Linked DNA regions of Rattus norvegicus. The protein of the gene in region 1 binds, or shares a complex with, the protein of each later gene. Links are inferred from orthologs where the notes say so. Each region holds a gene or a part of one and is shown on either strand. Other genes may lie near its edges. The genes, in order: Wnk4 and Klhl2.

Region 1 (9,875 bases):
CAGGAGAAACTGAGGCAGATGGTATACAGTGGCTCCCAATGAGCATAGACAACTTCACTTTCAAACCTTCTTACAAATCTGAGGGTTGGAAAACTGAGTTGCAGCGGGTAGCACTCCAGTCTCCTGCCTGGGGTATCACTGCCCCTTCCTCTCTTGCTCCTCCAAGTCCTGAAACCTTCTGCTGTGTCTCTGGTCCTCCTCCTCCTCCTCCTCCTCCTCCTCCTCCTCCTCCTCCTCCTCCTCCTCCTCCTCCTCCTCCTCCTCCTTCTCCTCCTCCTCCTCCTCCTCCTTCTCCTTCTCCTCCTCCTACCTCTTTACAAACTTAGAAATAATATGTGGGAGTTCAGGAGCTGAGGACAAGGCCCTCTCCACCTCCAGAAGGGGGTTCTCCAGGCCGTTTCTGGAGTTGTTGGTTTTACAGACTTCTTAACAGCCTCAAGGAGTGGGACAGGAAGCTCTAGTTCTAGCTGGAGTCCAGTTCAGTTTCTCATCCCTATGCATACCTGGAATCTCCTTTTCCATTGCCAAAGGAGCTGAGCTCTTGCAACCTTTGGACTTCAGGAGGATGTTGATTGGCAGTTTCTTCCTCCCGTGTCTCCCACTGTTATGTGTGAGTGGTCCCGGAAATTTTTAGGGTATAAAACCAGGAGGAAGGGTCCTTCCACTTTGGTCCTGGCATAGGGCTCTCCGCTAGTCACTGCTAGTGCCGCACCCCAGGCTCTAAGCCAGGCCAGGAGAATCAGCCAGACTCAGGGGAGGGAGAGGGAGAGGGAGAAAAGAGGGGTAGGGCAGCTCCTGCCATGGGGGGGTGGTCTCCTGGCCCTGGATCTTTTCTTTCTTGGTACCTTCCTCGGACTCTGTCTAGATTCTGCAGTTCCTAGTTTTTAAGGCCAACCCCTTGTCGGCCCCAATTCCCTGCCCGTGGTCTGCCTTCTGCCTGCTGCCTGCTGCCTGCCGTCTGCCACCCCCCCTTCACCCCACCCCACCCCTTCCACGGTCGGCTCTGGCGGCCACAAAGGCGCTATTGAGTGCATAGCTCCCAGACCTGGTTGCATAAAGGCGCTTGTGTCCAGCAGGGGGTCCGGAGTGCTGCCCCAGGCCCAGGGTGGGTGTGTTTTGGAGCAATAAGAAGGGATCAACCAAAAGTTGGGGGTCTACAGCCCTTCTGCTAGAGATCTCGCCAACTATACCCTCCCTCATTTCTCCCCCCACCATACCCTAGATGTCCCATGTCCTTCTTGGGGGGGGTTGATCTGGATCTGATGTGACCCTCCGTCACCCCCATCCCACAGACTCGGAAACTCTCTCGGGCTGAACGGCAGCGTTTCTCTGAGGAAGTTGAGATGCTCAAGGGGCTGCAGCACCCCAACATCGTCCGCTTCTATGACTCCTGGAAGTCGGTGCTGAGGGGTCAGGTTTGCATCGTGCTGGTCACAGAACTCATGACCTCGGGCACGCTCAAGACGTGAGCTCTGGCCTGGGTGGGAGGGGAGGGGTGGAATGTCACCCGTCACTCCAAGGCTCTGGGAACTTCTCCCAGTCACTTCAAACTTCCACACTTGAAACCAGGCTCTCTCCCACTTACTAGACTGTGTGAATGCCAGTGTACACCAAGCATACCAGTCAAAACTTTAGGTATCTTTACTGCAATGTACCTTCTTTCTCAACAGTGGGGTCACTTAAGTCTTTGTTTAACATCCTCCCACTGCACCCCCCCATCTTTTCCTCTACCTTGCTGCTATACCACTGACCCCTCCCAACTCCCAGAAGCCCTCCTAAAGAGCCTTTCCCAATCTGCCCTCCCTTCAAGTTATCCTATCTTCCTGCAACCCAGGGGAAGCCTGACCCTTTGACTTGCTCTTTTAAACCCCTTCAGGATTTCCCACTCCCCTGGGGGTAAAGTGCATTCACTCCCTCAGACACTCTCTTCTTGAGCTGAAGTTACAAACAACCCCAATTCTGTGATCCCTCCCATTCTGAACTGTCACTCCTGTGGCTCTCCAGCCTGGGAAATCTCCATCCCTCCCCATTTTCACCCTTGAATTTATATTTTTTCAAGACAAAAGTTATTCCTTCCCAACCCTTGGACTGTTAGTCATCCCTTCCGGTGCTCCGGGGCACGGGCCCTATCTTCGAAGTTACCATCAGAACTTTTTTTGTAACCTGTTTACCTCACTCATTGACTCAGTTTCTTTCCCACCCAGACCAGTCTAAATTAAAATAATGCTGGCTGGGGACAGCGGAGGTGTTGGCAAGGGTGGGATAAGGAATTTTCCAGCCTGGAATAGATATCCCCGCCCTGACCACGGTTATACACCCTCTCCCAGGTACCTGAGGAGATTCCGAGAAATGAAGCCCCGAGTCCTTCAGCGCTGGAGTCGCCAGATCCTACGGGGACTTCATTTCTTACATTCCCGAGTGCCCCCCATCCTGCACCGAGATCTCAAATGTGACAATGTCTTCATTACCGGCCCTTCAGGCTCTGTCAAAATCGGAGATCTCGGACTGGCCACGCTCAAGCGCGCCTCCTTTGCCAAGAGCGTCATTGGTGTGTCTCTCCAGCAGGACCCTGGCCATTGTTAGCTCCTTTGCATCAGAAAAGAGCACGGGACCCCTCACTCCACTCCATCAGGGCTTTGGAGAGATAGCGTACTAGGGCGACCCATTTTTCCTGCCCCCAGCACAGGCTTTGGGCAAGAGTTGGTCACCAGCACTCCAGAACTCCTGGGGTTGCTCTTGGGCTATTAAAGCTACCCCCAACCCCCCCCCCCCCTGTGCGATATACCTAAGTGGAGGGAGGAGACCAGGAGAAAGAAGCCTGATCCTTTCTGTGGGTCCAATAGGGACCCCGGAATTCATGGCCCCTGAGATGTATGAGGAAAAGTACGACGAGGCTGTGGATGTGTACGCCTTTGGCATGTGCATGCTGGAGATGGCTACGTCTGAGTATCCCTACTCTGAGTGTCAGAACGCAGCACAAATCTACCGAAAGGTCACTTCGGTGAGAAGGGTGGGGTTTGGGGAAGAAGGGATCCCCAGTGGCCCTCCCATTCTTCTACCCTCTAACTAGCCTGCTAATACATAACATTAGCATACATTATATTAACATATGTGAAGGGTATATATTATACATGTATCAAATTATATATGTGTGTGTATATGTAACACACACACACACACACACACACACACAAACATTTATCCTTAATAAAGCCAGGCCAGACAAAAAGATGCCCTGGAGAAACAGACATATATTGTATGTACATAAACCCTTCACACAAGCTGGTAAGAAGATGTGTATGCTTACAGACAACTTCACATCCAGTCTCAGTAGATCTTTCTAGTTGCCCTACTAGAAGAGCCAGGCAAACTTTCTACCCTCAGGCAAGGTCACACCAACATAGGTGGGGGAATGGGATCTGAAATCAAGTCTTTCCGTACCAGTATCTTCCCCCAACCTGAGCCTGGGCGCCTGCCTGCACTGCAGACTTGCTGAGCGAGGCGGGCGTGGGCAACGGGGGCGGGGGGGGGCTCATGAGATCCCTTCTCTCAGGGCACAAAGCCCAACAGCTTCTACAAAGTGAAGATGCCAGAGGTGAAGGAGATCATTGAAGGCTGCATCCGCACGGATAAGAATGAGAGGTGGGGTCCGGGACAGAGACGGGATGAAGATGACCGGGCAGTGGCAGCGGGCTCCGCTCACTGCCCCCACGGTCCCCAGGTTCACTATCCAGGATCTTCTGACCCACGCGTTCTTCCGCGAGGAACGTGGTGTGCATGTGGAGCTGGCAGAGGAAGATGATGGAGAGAAGCCGGGTCTCAAACTCTGGCTGCGCATGGAGGACGCACGACGCGGGGGGCGCCCAAGGGACAACCAGGCCATCGAGTTCCTGTTCCAGCTCGGTCGGGATGCAGCGGAAGAGGTGGCTCAGGAGATGGTGAGGAGAGTATAGATAATCCTACTTGGGTGGAGTGTGTAAAGGGTTCAGCCAGCCTGCCATCAGTCAACAGGAGGGGTCAAGGTGCAGCGCTAGAGTAGCGAGCGGAGGCTCCTACTCAGAGCTGCAGCTCCAACAGGGGTCTCTCCGCCTCTTCTGCCCTAATCCACCAGCGCACGCCAGGGTTCTCCCCCAGAACAAATCCGGGAAACCCTAACGTCACTTCTTTGCACGCAGATTCATTTTTTCATTTATCACGGGAATGCCCTTCTTGGCAACTTATCTATTTATTTTTCCCTCTCCCCCTTCTTTGTCTCTATGCTTAGCACCATCCGTTCCAGGACGCTCACTCCTCCTGTGTAAACGCTGAATGCTTCTTTTCAAATCTGGGGGCGGGCGGGGGGGGGGGGCTCGAAACCACCTCAAACCTTGGGCTTTGTTTTATACCTGAATACATTTCCCATCTCACTCCTCTGCTAGACTAGAAACTATCTGTGGCCAGACAGTATTTTATTGATTTTTTTTTCCCCTCGGTCCTTTACTGTTTGGCAATTAGCAGATGCTTCTTAACATTATATGTGGCTTAAAAAAGAAAGCATTTTTCACGTGACCTTCTTTGGAGGGCTATGGAATGCATGCTTAGAGAGAGTGACTGTCTTGTCTAGAGTCCCAAGAAAACAAATGACAAAGAGGGATGTAATCTCAAGCTGTTCAGATTTGAAATCAGTTGGCCCTACCACATTTCTTTTACTCACCCGGCAAAGCCCACGGCTAAATTGATTTGAATAGGAGAGGGGGAGGTGAGGAGCAGAGATCCGTGGAAGAGAAAGTACTGTGGAGATAGAAGATGCCAGAGCACAACCTTGAAAGCTTGTGAGGAGAACCTGAATGGGCAGAGGGTGAGAATATGGGATTCTCAATAGAGAAATGGCAGTTTCAAGGTCAAGGGTCATCTGTGATGAGTCAAGAAGCTGAGACCATGCTGGCTTAGTGGGGCTCTTTTTTTAAAAAAAAGATTTACTTATTTATTTTATGTATATAAGTACACCATAGCTGTCTTCAGACACACTAGAAGAGGGCATTGGATCCCATTACAGATGGTTGTGAGCCACCATGTGGTTGCTGGGAATTGAACTCAGGACCTCTGGAAGAACAGTCAGTGTTCCTTTTTTTTTTTTTTTTTTCAGGTTCATAATTTATTGTACAAATTGAGTATTACATGATGAGTTCACATCAGCTTCTTCAGGCATGGGACTTAACAGATGAGGCCAGACATTTCAAAATCCATTTATGTTGCTTTCACAGCTGGGGTTTTTTTAGGCCTTAACTTAAAGTATAGGACCAACAAAGCAATGCCTCCATATGTGGCCAGGACACAATTCATTCTACCTGTGAGGGTATAAGAGTTGAAATATTTTTTAATACCAGTGAACTGGAATTGGCCATCACTTTCTGGACCAGCCATGACTTCAATCTTCTTCGTCCGAATCACAAACTCTGCCCAGTCAGTGTTTTTTTTTTTTTTTTTTTTTTGGTTCTTTTTTTCGGAGCTGGGGACCGAATCCAGGGCCTTGCGCTTCCTAGGCAAGCGCTCTACCACTGAGCTAAATCCCCAACCCCCCAGTCAGTGTTCTTAATACCACTGAGCCATCTCTCCAGCCCTGGGGCACTTTTTTTTTTTTTTTTTTAAATCCCAGGAAGCAGAGGTAAATGAATCACTTATGAATCCAGCCAGTGAGCTCCAGGCCATCCAGGCATACACAGTGAGACCCTTTGGCACAAAAGCAATCTCCAGAGCACTGCCCAGCTCAACTCAAGATTCAGTCCTTTAAGAGTGACATCTTGTTTATGTTGTGTGTGACTGTGCATGTATATGTGGGGTCACATGTGCCACAGCATGCGTGTAGAAGTCAGAGGACAACTAGTGGGAGTCAGTTCTCTCCTGCCATCATGTGGGTCCTGGGGGTTAAACTCAAGCCATTAGGCTTGATGGTAGGCACCTTTAAACACAGAGATATTTTGCTGCCTTCAAGATCAAGTCTTGATCTATTATCTGTGAGGGAGCAAGGGATTCCTGTGTGTGTGATGTACCTTTTATGCATGTGGGTATGCACATGAATGCATGTGTACACATGCTTTTGCATGGGTACTGGAGGCTGGAAATCAGGTCTTTCTGATTGCAGTATTATATCCAAAACAACAATGGCAAAGTTTATCTCATAATGTTATTGAGAAGACTTAAGGATGATGATGAATTCAGTTAACACACATGGTCATTAATCAATAAGTAGTTCCCTCCTGGGCTGGAGAGATGGTTTAGAGGGTAAGAGTACTGACTGCTCTTCCAGAGGTCCTGAGTTCAAATCCCAGCAACCACGTGGTGGCTCATAACCATCTGTAATGAGATCTGATGCCCTCTTGTGTCTAAAGACAGGTACAGTTTACTTATATATAATAAATGAATAACTCTTTTAAAAAAATAGTTCCCTCCTTATTCCTAGAGGCCTCAAAAAGGTGTCCTGATAGATAACTCCCCAAGTATGGATGTGTGTGTGCATATTTGTAAAGTCAGTTAAAGGTGTCCAGATGAATCTATCCACCCCCTCACCCCCTCTTCCCCTCTCTCTCTCTCTCTCTCTCTCTCTCTCTCTCTCTCTCTCTCTCTCTCTCTCTCCACGTACAGATGTGTAAGTATATGTATGTTGAAGCCAGAAGTTAACTTTGGGTGTCATGTCTCTGGAAGGAGCAACCTTGTTTTTTGAGATAGGGTTTCTCTGTAGTCCTGGCTGGCCTAGAACTCAGAGACTGCCTGCCTGTGCCTCCAGAGTTCTGGGATTAATGGCCAAACAGGGTTTCTTACTGGAATCTGGGGCTTGCTAAGGCTAGACTGACTGGCCAGCAAGCTCTGGGACTCTGCCTTTCTCTGCCTCCCCAGCACTGGGGTTTCAGGCGTGCATACCTGAAGCTTTATGCGAGTATTGGGGACAGACTCGTGCTTTATGCCTAATGCAGCAAACATCATACTAACTTAGACAGCTCCCACGTCCCTGCTCAGTCTTTGGGGGAAATTAAAAAATTTAAAACCATCTCCCTAAATATCCTGACTCCAGGTAGCCTTGGGCTTAGTCTGCGAAGCAGACTACCAGCCAGTGGCCCGTGCAGTTCGAGAACGGGTTGCTGCCATCCAGCGGAAGCGGGAGAAGCTAAGAAAAGCCAGGGAATTGGAGGTTCTCCCACCAGACTCAGGACCTCCTCCAGCAACTGTGTCTATGACTCCTGGTCCCCCCAGTGCCTTCCCCCCAGAGCCCGAGGAGCCAGAGGCTGACCAGCACCAATCCTTCCTCTTCCGCCATGCCAGCTACTCATCCACTACATGTAAGTCACCCCAACTTTGAGTTCTAGGTCCCAGAAGTCCAGCCCAACCCAGCTTTCTAACTCGAGCCACGTACCTTCCTTTGGGGACAAACACTCCCACAATTCCCTCCTGGCTCCAGGCCCCTCTTTGCTCAGACAGGTCCCCCTCCCCTCCCACCACAGTCCTTTATTATTTTTCTTATTTTTTTGATCCACTCCCTCCCCTACCAGCTGATTGCGAGACTGATGGCTACCTCAGCTCCTCCGGCTTCCTGGATGCCTCAGACCCTGCCCTTCAGCCCCCCGGGGGGATGCCATCCAGCCCCGCTGAGCCCCATCTCTGCTTGCCCTCGGTGAGAGGGGGTCACCCCAGAGCCTTCCAGCCATTCAAAGCCCATGACCTGTCCCTCTCTCCTGACTCCCAACCCCCTACCCCGTTCCCTGGGTTCCTGAAACACACCATTCTTGTCCTTATGTCTCCAATTCTGTTTCCCTAGTGTTCTCCCCACATCCTGACACCATTTCCCCCGGGTCTCCACCACCATCAGCAGCTATTATCCCCTGACCTTATGAATTCTATCATCTTCCAGGGTTTTGCCTTGTCCATTCCACGGTCTGGCCCTGGCAGTGACTTTTCTCCTGGGGACAGGTATGTTCTGGTTTCAGTCAGATGGCAGGGTGAGACACAGAATGTTCTGGGTTTATCTACTTAAACCCTCTGTCTCCCTTTCCCTGTCCAGCTACGCCTCAGATGCAGCCTCAGGCCTCAGTGACATGGGAGAAGGGGGGCAAATGAGGAAAAATCCAGTGAAGACTCTGCGACGGAGACCTCGATCCCGGCTTCGGGTCACGAGTGTAAGGAGGACCCAGGAGCTGGAGAATAACCCACAGGACCAGTAGGGGACTGCCAGGGAGATGGGGGTGGGGCAGGGCAGAAAAGCGGAGTTGTGACTGGTGATGCTTTGAGGCATCTAGTCTAGTTTCAATGCCAGACTCTGGGCCTAGAATCCGTTCTCCACCCTGGCCAGCCTCTAGCAGGGTGGAAACACATGGCCGAGGCAGAGGCATTGACTTCTTCCCTTCTGCTGACTTTGAATCTGAAAGGTCTCAGACCAGAGCGACAGAGTCGTGGAGTGCCAGCTGCAAACTCACAACAGCAAGATGGTGACGTTCCGATTTGATCTGGATGGGGACAGCCCAGAAGAAATCGCAGCTGCCATGGTGAGGGGGAGAGAGATGAGGACCGAGCGTTTGGATTCATAGCCCGACCCTGCAATGAGGGCGTATAAACCCTGGTTGGCAGGGCAACTGTGAAGATGCTTTGGCCTTTGTGCGGGGGAGATTTCTGTGTATCCAGTCAGAGCACTCTGATATCAATATGGACTAGGAAGATAAGAGTGATGTGACTTCCTGCTAGAGAAGGTGACTGGAAGTAAAGGACGGACTGGAGCAGGGTGGAAGGAGTGGGATTTACCCAGGCCGAGCAGATGAGTAGCAGTGGCCGGGAAGCGCGGGGGGCGGCGCGGGGGCGGGGCGGCGGCATGTCCTTTTGGAAGCAGGGCATGAGTAAAGCCATTAGTGCTGACTTCGTGAAGAGACCACTGTCCCTGGAGAAAGGGGATCCTACAGGAGTGTCCTGGGAAGCGGAACTCAGCACATATCATAAGAGCTAAAGAAGGGCAGCTGTGGGCAGTGCATGCCTGCAATCTGAGCTCTTGGGAGGAGTTAGCTGGAAGATCAATGATTGGGGTCATCCTGGGCTGCACAGCAGTTCAGGGTCAACCCAGGCTACATACATGAGACTCTGTGAAGCAAACAAAGGAAGTTAGGCAGAGAGGGACATGATGAGAATGGGTTTTTTTGTTGTTGATGTTTGGGTGTTCGTTTGTTTTTTTTAGATTTTTTTTAAATTAGCTTTTTATTTTATGTATGAGTACACTGTCGCTGTCTTCAGACACACCAGAGGGCTTCGGATCCCATTACAGATGGTTGTGAGCCACCATGTGGGTGCTGGGGGTTGAACCCAGGACCTCTGGAAGGACAGCTAGTGTTCTTAATCACAGAGCCATCTCTCCAGCCCGAGAATGGATTTTTAAGAAGACTGATCTGCTGTGGCATAGGGGAAGGTATTAGGAGTAAAGACTCTGATCAGGAGGTAGACACAAGAAACCAGATAGGCAGGAAGCAGAAATGAAATACTCCCGGGAAGAGAAGAAAGGCCGAAGCTAAGGGTTGTTCAGGAAAATCACTATGTAGTCCAGGAAGCTCTTGACGTCATACAGTGTGGGTAGTGGATGCCCAATAAATATTTGCTGAGTTGATAGGCTAGGGAGGCAGGGGGAAGGGATATCAAGGACAGCCTGTATCAGAGGACCAAAGAGGAGCAGGCTACTCAAAGAGAGAAGTTGGAAATGAGAGCAGGTTTTTTTTTTAAGAGTCATGGTGAGCTTGAGTGATAGATAGTTGAGTCAAGGTTCTCCATGGCAACAGGAAATGGCCAGGCCGAGCTGGAGAGGGATGAGTTTGGGAGTCCTCAGTCTAGAGCTGAGGGTGAAAATAGACCTGTGAGGAAGGTGAGAGACA
Region 2 (9,875 bases), on another chromosome or scaffold:
TCTCACTAAGAGGGCACTAACAGGAGGCTCAGCCTGCAGAAATGGAAGGAGATGGACCTCGGTAAGAAGCCCTATCCTGACACGAGAGGAGTCAAGGAGAAGCGACTGATGAGGAGCCCTTTAATAAACTCCTTTCACAAACGTTCTCTAAAGCAGCCTGTGAAGGCATCCGATCGGAAAGGAAGGGCCATGAAAAACCTTCCTCACTGAACAAATGATAAAACACTGTCAGGAAAGCAGAGAAGCTTTGACGCTGTGAAAATGTACAAAAGCACTCCTTCTTACTGCCGCTCAAGCCCACTTAACTGAACCAGGAAAAGTAGCACACATTTCCCAACCCCACATGCAGATGTCCACCAGTCAGCCCACCTCAGATGCTCGCCGGGGCCTCTAGTTACCTGCTCCACTCCGTCTGGTGCTCATTTCTGCTATGTAAGTCCACTCGTTGGCAGTAGCATTATAGCATTCTACTGTGCTAAGACACTGGCGTGAAGCTCCATCGTAACCTCCCACAGCATAGAGCAAACCTAGACGTGGAACCACAAAGAAAGCCAAATAAACAACCTGTTCTCCCCGTCATAAGACATTAGTGTATGCTGCTCTGTGGTAACGGCACCTCCCCTTAATCATTTCTAATTTTCATGATATGCATTAGTCTTGACAACTGCTAGCAGGTGGAATGAGGGAAGGATGTGCTTTCTCTATCTTTCTTATACTTCCATCAATGGTGTGACACTAGAGCAGTGCACTGACTTGAGATAACACCAGCTGATTCATTAACAACGTCTCGGAAAACAGAAATATCAGCTGGGGAAGAGAGTCAGTAGCAGAGGGGCCAGACAGATGGCTGAGCAGTTAAGAGTGCCCCTGTCCTTTAATCCCTAGCACCCACAAGGCAGCTCACAACCATGACACCCTCTTCTGGCATTCATGGGCATATATATGCACACAGTACACAAACCATACATGAAGGCAAAACACTCATATACATTTAAGAAAGAGTCAGTAGCAGAATGTAGTACAGAATGCAATGAAATATCTGAGGAGAAAAAGGCTATGATGTGCTAACACTACATTATGAACGGAGTAGTAATATACATGAGTGACATTAAAAGCATGCGACATGAGACAAGCCAGTCATAAACATGCTATGTGATTTAACTTACATAAAATGTCTAGAAGAGAGGAATTCACAGTGACAGGAAGTATCTAGACTGGGGACTGGGGATTAGAGGGGACAGCTAAGGAAGTAGAAATGGTCTTATTGGGTAACAAAAATGTTCTTAAATGACTTGTGGTGATAGATACATATGGAATCGTTTGAGTCAAATGGGAAGTTTTTATGATATTTCAGTGGTGTTTTATGAAAGGCACTTTAAAGGAGATCTATTTTTATTAATATACGTTTGTGAATGTGGATGCCCACAGAAGCCAGAGGCATTGGAAGCTCCTACAACTGTAGCTACAGGCAGTTGTGAGCAGCCTCCTGTGGATGCTGGGAATCTAACTCCAGTCCTCTGGAAGAACAGTAATCGTCTACTTTTTAAAGTGTACGGAAAGCTGGATCTGGGGGCACACACCTTTAACCCTGGCACTCTGGAGGTAGAAGGCAGGTGGATCTCTGAGTGCAGCCTTGTCTACATGGTGAGTTCCAGGGCAGCCAGCCAGGGCTACACAGTGAGACTCTGTCTTAAAAAAAAGTATGTGTATATACATATATGTATGTATATATAGATATAGATATAGAAATAGAATTTTCCACTAGTGAGGAAGCAACGGAAAAACATAAATTTGTCTAAGCTAGAATTTGAGGGAAAAAAAAATCACACTGAAGAAATAACACACGGGGTTGGGGATTTGGCTCAGTGGTAGAGCGCTTGCCTAGCAAGCACAAGGCCCTGGGTTCGGTCCCCAGCTCCGGAAAAAAAAAAAAAAGAAAGAAATAACACATGGTTTTCCTTCAACTGAGAGCAAAGGGTTAGAAACTAACGTAAAGCCACTAACCACCTCCTGCGTGTTAAAGGGCTCTCGTCCAGATACAAATGTTTGGAAGTTTAATGACCTGAATCGTTTTCCCAACAACTGTCATAAGAACAGGTGAAAAGGTTGGGTGCCACTTAGGGAATAAAGCATGTGTCTAGTATCTGACTTCAATTCCCAGTAGCGTTAAAAAAAGATTGGTTGACAGTCACATAAGTTACGCACAAAGAAGGAGGGAAGAAGAAAACATAGGGAGAGGGAGGGAGGAAGTAGGTGGAAAGGCCTCGCTTATACAGTTTAATTTATATAAATGAGCTCATTGAAAGAAAGAACAATTACAATACATAACCATGCTTTTCTTCTGCCCATTCATAAAACAGTGCCTGGATCTCCCGATGAACCACCCTCTCTACAGCCCAGAGCACCCACAGTGCTCACCGCTGGAGCTCCCAGACCTACCTCCAACAACGCCAACGCCCACACTGCTCCTCCTGGTGTTCATTGGCGCGACATGAAACCACTCATTAGATTTTATGTTGTATGCTTCCACAGATGATAAACCTGTGACAGAGGATAATACCCCTCATTTCCTCTTCCAAAATGACACCATTGTTCTTTTATATAAATACCACTAGGGGAAATAACGTCAGACATTTTACACTGGGCTAAAATTAAAAGAAGAGCAGGAGGGAACGTGCTCGCTCCACGGTGGGAGTGGCTTCTCTACTGAAGCTTCTACTTGGGCTGCTGCCATTTATAAACTTTTTAAACATGGAAGAATGATGGATATTAAGGCATCAGAAACAAAATGTATATCGTCTGCACTGTCACGCCATTTAAAAGCAGTTATTTAGGTGTTTCTATGACCCTACATAAAAGCTATTCATGTGTGTGTGCATCGCTCTGCAGTGCCTCCTCAGGCCAGTAGAGGGTGCTGGGTATCCCAGTGCTGGAGTTGGAGTGGGTTGTGATCTGCTCTGTCTGGGTGCTGGAAATCAAACTCTGGTGCTTTCAAAGAGCAGCAAACACCCTTAACCACATCTATCCATCCTCCACTCATATCTCTTAAAGAAAATTTGAATTTAGGGTTTTAAGACAAGTTCTCACCCTGGAGCCAATGCTACCCTCAAACTTATAATCCTCCTGCCCCCAAATGTCACCTCACTGGTCTCGAAAGAAATTGCCAGTGTCATTTTAGAGCTTCTCTAAAATAACTGCTAAGAACACTAAAGCATGTGCTAACGTCATTATGATTGGCACCATAAATGTGGCTACCGTGTCAGTTACCTATTATAGCAACGCGGGAGAGAGGCAGTTACCTGTGCTGCCGTCAAAGCCCCCCACTGCATACAGCAGCCCGTTCAGCACCGCTGCCCCCAGCGTGCTCCTTCGGTCGCGCATGTTTGCCACGCTGGTCCACTGGTCTTTCACAGGGTCGTAGGAATCTACAGTGCGAACTCTCAGTGAGCCATTGAAGCCACCGACAGCAAAGACCAGCCCCGCCATATACACCATCCCTGCAAAGGAAGAAGTCAATTCAGATGAGCACGCCAGCTACAGTTAGCCTGACCTCAAAGCAGGCACCTACAGTGTTTGTGGGAACACAGAACTCGTAAGAGCTGGGTCAGTCTTGAAAATTTCTCTTCATTTGTAAGAAACAAAATCAGAAGTGCACCATGGGATGTGTACTAGGAATCCACTGCAGCAAAGATTCTTGTAAGATAATAAGATTAATTGTAAGATTAATAAGTTTAATGTCCAATTAAAACTAGTGGGGTAGTTTTCAGTGGTGAAGTGCTCGCCTGCAACTTAAAAACAAAATCTATATGACAAAGGTGCAGAAGGGCAGAGGAGCGGGAGGAGAGAGGCAGCAGGAGGGGAAGGAGAGAGGGAGGGAGGGAGGGGGGGAGGGAGGGAGGGAGGGAAGGAGGGAAGGGAGTGAGAGAGGGAATGCGTATGTGAGAATGTGTGTGTGTGTGTGTGTGTATGATATGTGAGAGTGTATGTGTGTGAAGGGATATGTTGTGAGAGTATGTGTGTGTGTGATGTGTGTGTCTGTGTGTGTGAGTGTGTGTGTGTGTGTGAGAGAGAGAGAGACTGTATATGTATAAGAAAGAGTATGTGAGTGTGTCTGAGAGTGTGTATATTTGAGAATGTGTGTGTGTGAGAGAGTATGTATGTGAGAGTGTATGTATGGAGGGTATGTTGTGAGAGTATGTGTGTGTGTAAGGTTATATGTGTATAAGAGTGTGTGTGTGTGCAAGGCCCTGGGTTCGGTCCCCAGCTCCGAAAAAAAGAACCAAAAAAAAAAAAAAAGAGTGTGTGTGTGTGTGATGTGAGTGTATGCGTGTGTGGGAGAGACTATATGTGTATAAGAAAGAGTACATGTGTGAGTGTGTCTGAGAGTGTGCATATTTGAGAATGTATGTGTGATGATAGAGTATGTATGTGAGAGTGTATGTGTGTGGGGGGGTATGTTGTGAGAGTATGTTGTGTGTGTGAGAGAGACTGTATGTGTGTAAGAGTGTATGTGTGTGTGTGTCTGAGAGTGTATGTATATGAGAGTATGTGTGTGAGACTGTATGTATATGAGTATGTGTGTGTCTAAGAGTGTGTGTATGTGAGAATGTGTGTGTAATGAGAGTGTATGAGAGTGTGTGTGTGTGTATGTTGTGAGAGTATGTGTGTGTGTGTGAGACTGTTTGTGTGTAAGAGTATGTGTGTGTGTCTGAGTGTATGTGTGTGAGAGCGTGTGCACACGGTCACATACACACTCTCTTAGATAACAGGCTCATATCCTAGCCTTCCACTCTTACAGACTGACGTGATTCGGGGTATGCTATTTCATTAAGGTGACAGGAAATCAGGCCGCAAATCACCAGCTCTGCCGGTTTATTCTACAAAATCAGAACAGTGCCTGAAGGTGAGGGCAGGGCAGCAGCCAGGTGTAATGGATGACATAGGTAATCCTAGCACTTGGGAGGCAGAGGCAGACGGAACAGGAAATTCAAGGCCAGCCTGGGCCATAGAGACACAGAGACTCTGTCTTCAAAAAAATAAAATAAAATAAAAACGAAAAGAGCTGCTATCCTTTCCACAGAACGGGCTCAGTTAGGTTTCTAAACAACATCCTTCTCTTCCTTTTTCTTTTTCTTTAAAGAGGGTCTCGGCTGGCCTTGAGCTCCCCATCCTCCTGCCTCCACCTCTGGGGAGCTGGCATTGAAAGCACAGACTACGCCTGGTTTTCTAATAGACGTGTTTCCTACTGACGAGTAAGACCCAGCAACAGAGCTGGCTGGAAAACCCCACGCTCACCTGCCCTGCACCTCCTGGACGGCAACTCTGCCACCTGGTGCCATCGCTCCTCTTTGAAGTCGTAGCATTCCACACTTCGGATGGCCTTTGGTGCCTGGCCCCCGACCACCACCATCAACTACAAGGGAACAAATGTAAGTGCTTGAACCAATGATATCGCCTACTCAAGAGACTGACCGTATCCTACACAGACAGGAGACATGCTGGAAGGAAATGCCTGCCCAACCAACACGTCAGTGACGCCAGCAAGGGGCACAGGTTAGAACAGCAATTCTATCACCTAGCACATTTGGTTTAAAAATGTGGCTTTTCAGAAATGTAAAAAGGCTTCTGGCCACTCAAGCAAAAGCAGTACTTAAGGCAAAACAGTAGGGAGCCAACACTGGTAGGGCTATAGAGTGTCATGGAGCTTGCTGTCAACCAGATCCTGCTTCAGCAGTGATCAGAGGCTGCCAGGGCGTAGGAAACAGAAGTACAGCGTTGTACCAGGTAGTGAGTAAAAGGTCAGGAGAGGATTCATAGATGGAGAAATCATTTTAAATTGAGGTCATGAGTAGATGAGAATATAGAATCATGGACCTTAAGGAAAGAGGCCCCTCTTGAGGCTCCATAAATAAGCCATCGCCAGAACAGAATGGAGACATCAAGCTCCTAATGACCACACAAGCATCGGTCTACTGCTGGCAACAGATGGAGGCTGAGGAGCAGCCACGGGCCACCCTGACCGCTGATTAACGAGTACGCTAGGGACTACACAGGACACCTTTCTACTCACCAAGAGCCTATAAACCTCACCGAGGAACCAACTCCCAGAATGCAATACAAGACCAGTATGCAATTATATGCAGTCGAATACCTGTATGACAGTAACTGCTAACGGGACCAGAAAAGGGGGAGTGACCATAATTCAGCGAAAGCTTCCTAAGGAGCTGGAGCGAAGGGCTTGTAAGACGGACAGGACCTAGAAACTCCTGTGCTAGTCTTTTACCATACACATGGGCACTTCCTGGCAATGGGGAGTAAGAATGGCAACGTCAGCATGATGTTGTGGTTAATGAGGTCTTGAATGGAAAACTGTAAAGAATGGGCAGGGCTTTGAGGGGAGGATGAGACCATGACAAGGGAAATGAATACTGAGAATAAAAACTCATGACAAACCCAATGTGCAGATGCTCACACCCGTGTGTGGGCTGTGGTCCTGGAGTACTTCAATCTAAAGGAAGGTGTGCATGGAGTCTCAGAGTTACTGTGTAAAGCCGAAACCCTTAGGCATGTTAAGGCTTAGCGTAGACCAATGGCGTGAATATTTCAGCCTATTCCTCTAGTTCTGACTCCAAACAAATATAAAGGACTAAAGAAAAATCATTCCACACTATTACGAAAAGGTCAGTATGAGAAGGACTGTACAATCAGTCTTGCACGGTCACATCAAGCTCAGCCCTGTGCATACAGATCTGTGCTCACACCTCAAAGTTCGGTCTGACAGTGACACAGTGTAGAAAGGGTCTGCAATGATGTATCCAGTGAAGATCAATTCAAGCATCAGACCTCAGAACTGAATGTAGATACCCTAAAGACCGTGTTCTTAACGTTAATTAGACGTGCATATGTGTGTATAATTGTGGGTTTGTGCACGTTGAGTACGGTATCTGCAGAAGACAAAGGATAGGAGTCCTGGGAAGCAAACTCAGGTCCTCTGTAAGTGCAGTGCACACTCTTGAGCACCGAGCCATCTGTCCAGCCCCAGAGTAGTTTAAAATCCTCAGCCGGCACCTCTGAAGTGAGGACAGAGGAGAAAGCATGTCACCACAGAGGACAGGGTAGTACCTTCACTTTACTTCTCCGAGAAAGACAAAGTGGGATAGAAACACGTATTCCAACAGAGTACATGCAGGAAGGATGCACGGGAGGCATGGGAGCAGGGAGACAGTGGAACACACGGAGAAACAAGAGTGTGGCAATCAGCAAAGGGGTTGTCATATCATAGACTGCCATGACTGATTTGTGGAGAAAAATGAATGGTAACATTAGGGGACGCCAAGAGGAAAAAAGAGAAGTAAATTTATCCTAAATGCAGGTTGCTTACTTTCTGCACCCAGAAATACATCAATATTTATTTCCCAAAAGGGAGGAGTTAGCAGAGATAACAAAGCACAGCAGCAGAACATACACAGTGGGCTGGGGAGATGGCTCAGTGATTACGAGTACACACTGCTGTACTCCAGTCCCCTGCACCCAGGCTGCGTGGCTCACACGTGCTTGTGCCTCCCGCTCCACAGAATCCTTTTCCTCCTCTGGATTTCCTACATGCACATTCATATTCGTACACACAGACACATAAATAAAGATAAAAAATAAACTTAAAGGGCAGGAGAGATGGCTCAGTGGTTAAGAGCAATGTCTGCTCTCCTAGAGGTCCTGAGTTTAATTCCCAGCAACCACAGGGTGGCTCCCAACCATCTGTAATAGGATCCGATGCCCTCTTCTGGTGTGTATGAAGACAGCTACAGTATACTCATATACATAAAATAAATCTTTTTAAAAAAACTACAAAGTGTAGAGTTTCCTGTTATGAAATCCGAATGTAAAGATGCCTTACCTCGCAGAATCTCTGCATAGTTTCCCCAGAATACAAAAGTCATGCGTGAGACGAGAAAGCCCATGTGCGTGAGTGCAGTCGGGGACATAAGTCGGGGACTATGAGATACACGTGTACACAACTTTAATCCCACTTCCTTCTGACCTACTTCCCTAGAATAAATCCTGAACACAGCCACTGCCTAATGATAAATGGTATCAGGAAAACTTTCTATTCAAGACCCTTTCTAAACCGTGCGCACAAGCCAATGTCCGAGAAGGGGTGGACATACTCAAAGCTGTGCTGCTGTTTGAACGGTTGGCCACGTTAGGGACTCTTCCAAAACAAGGGATCCCAAGGAAGCTAAATACCAGAGAACCTCATGAATCCATGCACCGCATACCACAAGCAGGAGCTGAAGCCTGGAAAACTCTGGAAGTATGTAACGGTGGAAAAGGTAGGCCATACCAGAGAGGCCCAGGGGACAGCGCAACTCAATAGATGGCTTATACCTTACAAAGAAAATGAAACACTCGGCAGGATTTTACCAAGAGTTCCTTGGCTCTTTGAATTGCCATGTTTAGCCTGGAAATTAGGTGAAATGAGGTTGAATTCATCTTTAATCAAAAAGCCTCTCTGCAGTGTAGCTAGAAATGCCAGAAAACAGAGCAGGAGCTAAGAAGGCTTTTATTTTTCCTCTCACAGACATGAAACGTTTATGACGTATTTAAGTTAAGTGGTGAGGTGGCTCAGCAAGGAGAGGTGCCTCCCACCACTCGATGAGAAGTTCAACATCCAGGGCCCGCCCACACGGGGAGGAGAGAATGCACTCAAGTTACATGTGCACACACAAGTGCACACACCTACACATGCACACACAGAGAGACATACATACATGCAGACACACACACGCACAGACACACACACAGACACACACAGACACACACAGACACACAGACACACAGACACACACACACACACACACACACACACACACACACACACACACACACACTTTAGGCTGGAAAGGTAGCTCACTGAGTAAGAGCAGTCACTGCTCTTCACAGGTACACAATAAAATCCCAGCACCCACCCTGGGTGTCTCACAACACTGTAACTCTAGATCTGAGGAATCTAATATCAACTTCTGACCTCCATGTGTGAACATATACCACACAAATAAAATAATAAAATAAATCTTTAGAACAATTGAAAAAATGTTTTATAAAAGGTTAAATGAATTGAACAATCCGTATCCTAACAAGAAGGCAACAGAAATGAAATCCTATTTTCTAGGATGCTTTCTTGGGCACCATCCTTAACGTGTAGCCAATGCTAAATCATATATTCTACACTGCATTCTCAGGCACATTTCCCCTGCAGAAGAACTGAAACAACGGGCATGGAAATTCGATGATCAAACACATTAACGGCTCACTGTGGGCCTTCGGATGGGGCAAGCACAGCTGTGAACAATAGGTCCTACTTTGGGAAGGTTCATGGGTGTCCTCAGCCGGGTCCGCACGCTCTTCATTAACATGCGTTGCTCCGTTGGCAGCAAGTGGTACTTCATGGCTTCGATGAGGTAATCTTTGCATGCACTGCTGTTCTTCACCAGTGCTTCCTCCTCAACCCTCTGTGGGAAGAGAGCAGACAAGCCCTGTGAGGGCTAGTGTAGGAGACGGCCACTGGAACAGATAGGGGAAGAACTACAGCGGCAACTGTCCTGTCCACACGGGCTTCTGCTCACTCACTCGGCTACAGAGAGCAACAGCAATGGAGGCCAGGAGTTTCAATCTCAGCAAGAGGAAAAACGAACTCTGTGGACAACAGTCAGGTCCACCCCTTCCTGACATTTAAAGAAGCCACATGACAAGAAAGGAAAGAAAAGCAAAAGGGGAACCTTGTGGGAAAGGTAGGGCATGGGGGTTTGGGGACTTTACCTTGGAATTCGCCCACAAACCTAAGTGATTATGATCTGGGCTATGCAGAAGTGCTGATG

What was found.
Region 2: the proteins of Wnk4 (region 1) and Klhl2 are in contact, whole or in part, in a crystal structure (PDB 4CHB), measured with the Homo sapiens proteins. The link is inferred for Rattus norvegicus from reciprocal best matches to the Homo sapiens genes WNK4 and KLHL2. Residues at the interface, in NP_115763.2 of Homo sapiens: Glu557, Pro558, Glu559, Glu560, Pro561, Glu562, Ala563, Asp564, Gln565; in NP_009177.3 of Homo sapiens: Arg345, Phe361, Gly363, Ser364, Leu365, Arg366, Thr392, Phe408, Gly410, Ser411, Thr412, Gly413, Ser438, Ser439, Tyr455, Ser487, His504, Arg534, Tyr583.

The regions. Positions count from the first base shown.
Region 1 is NC_086028.1:86,703,750-86,713,624, forward strand, and holds part of Wnk4 (serine/threonine-protein kinase WNK4), read left to right. Parts: intron 1-530; exon of another isoform or gene 531-565; coding exon of another isoform or gene 566-610; intron 611-1,292; coding exon 1,293-1,465; intron 1,466-2,327; coding exon 2,328-2,548; intron 2,549-2,843; coding exon 2,844-3,001; intron 3,002-3,553; coding exon 3,554-3,642; intron 3,643-3,721; coding exon 3,722-3,938; intron 3,939-7,048; coding exon 7,049-7,313; intron 7,314-7,523; coding exon 7,524-7,645; intron 7,646-7,882; coding exon 7,883-7,941; intron 7,942-8,032; coding exon 8,033-8,147; exon of another isoform or gene 8,148-8,149; intron 8,150-8,396; coding exon 8,397-8,513; intron 8,514-9,875. UniProt on the Homo sapiens protein: Serine/threonine-protein kinase component of the WNK4-SPAK/OSR1 kinase cascade, which acts as a key regulator of ion transport in the distal nephron and blood pressure.
Region 2 is NC_086034.1:29,721,344-29,731,218, reverse strand, and holds part of Klhl2 (kelch-like protein 2), read right to left. Parts: intron 9,510-9,875; coding exon 9,360-9,509; intron 5,414-9,359; coding exon 5,296-5,413; intron 3,498-5,295; coding exon 3,300-3,497; intron 2,542-3,299; coding exon 2,440-2,541; intron 528-2,439; coding exon 399-527; intron 1-398. UniProt on the Homo sapiens protein: Substrate-specific adapter of a BCR (BTB-CUL3-RBX1) E3 ubiquitin ligase complex that mediates the ubiquitination of target proteins, such as NPTXR, WNK1, WNK3 and WNK4, leading most often to their proteasomal degradation.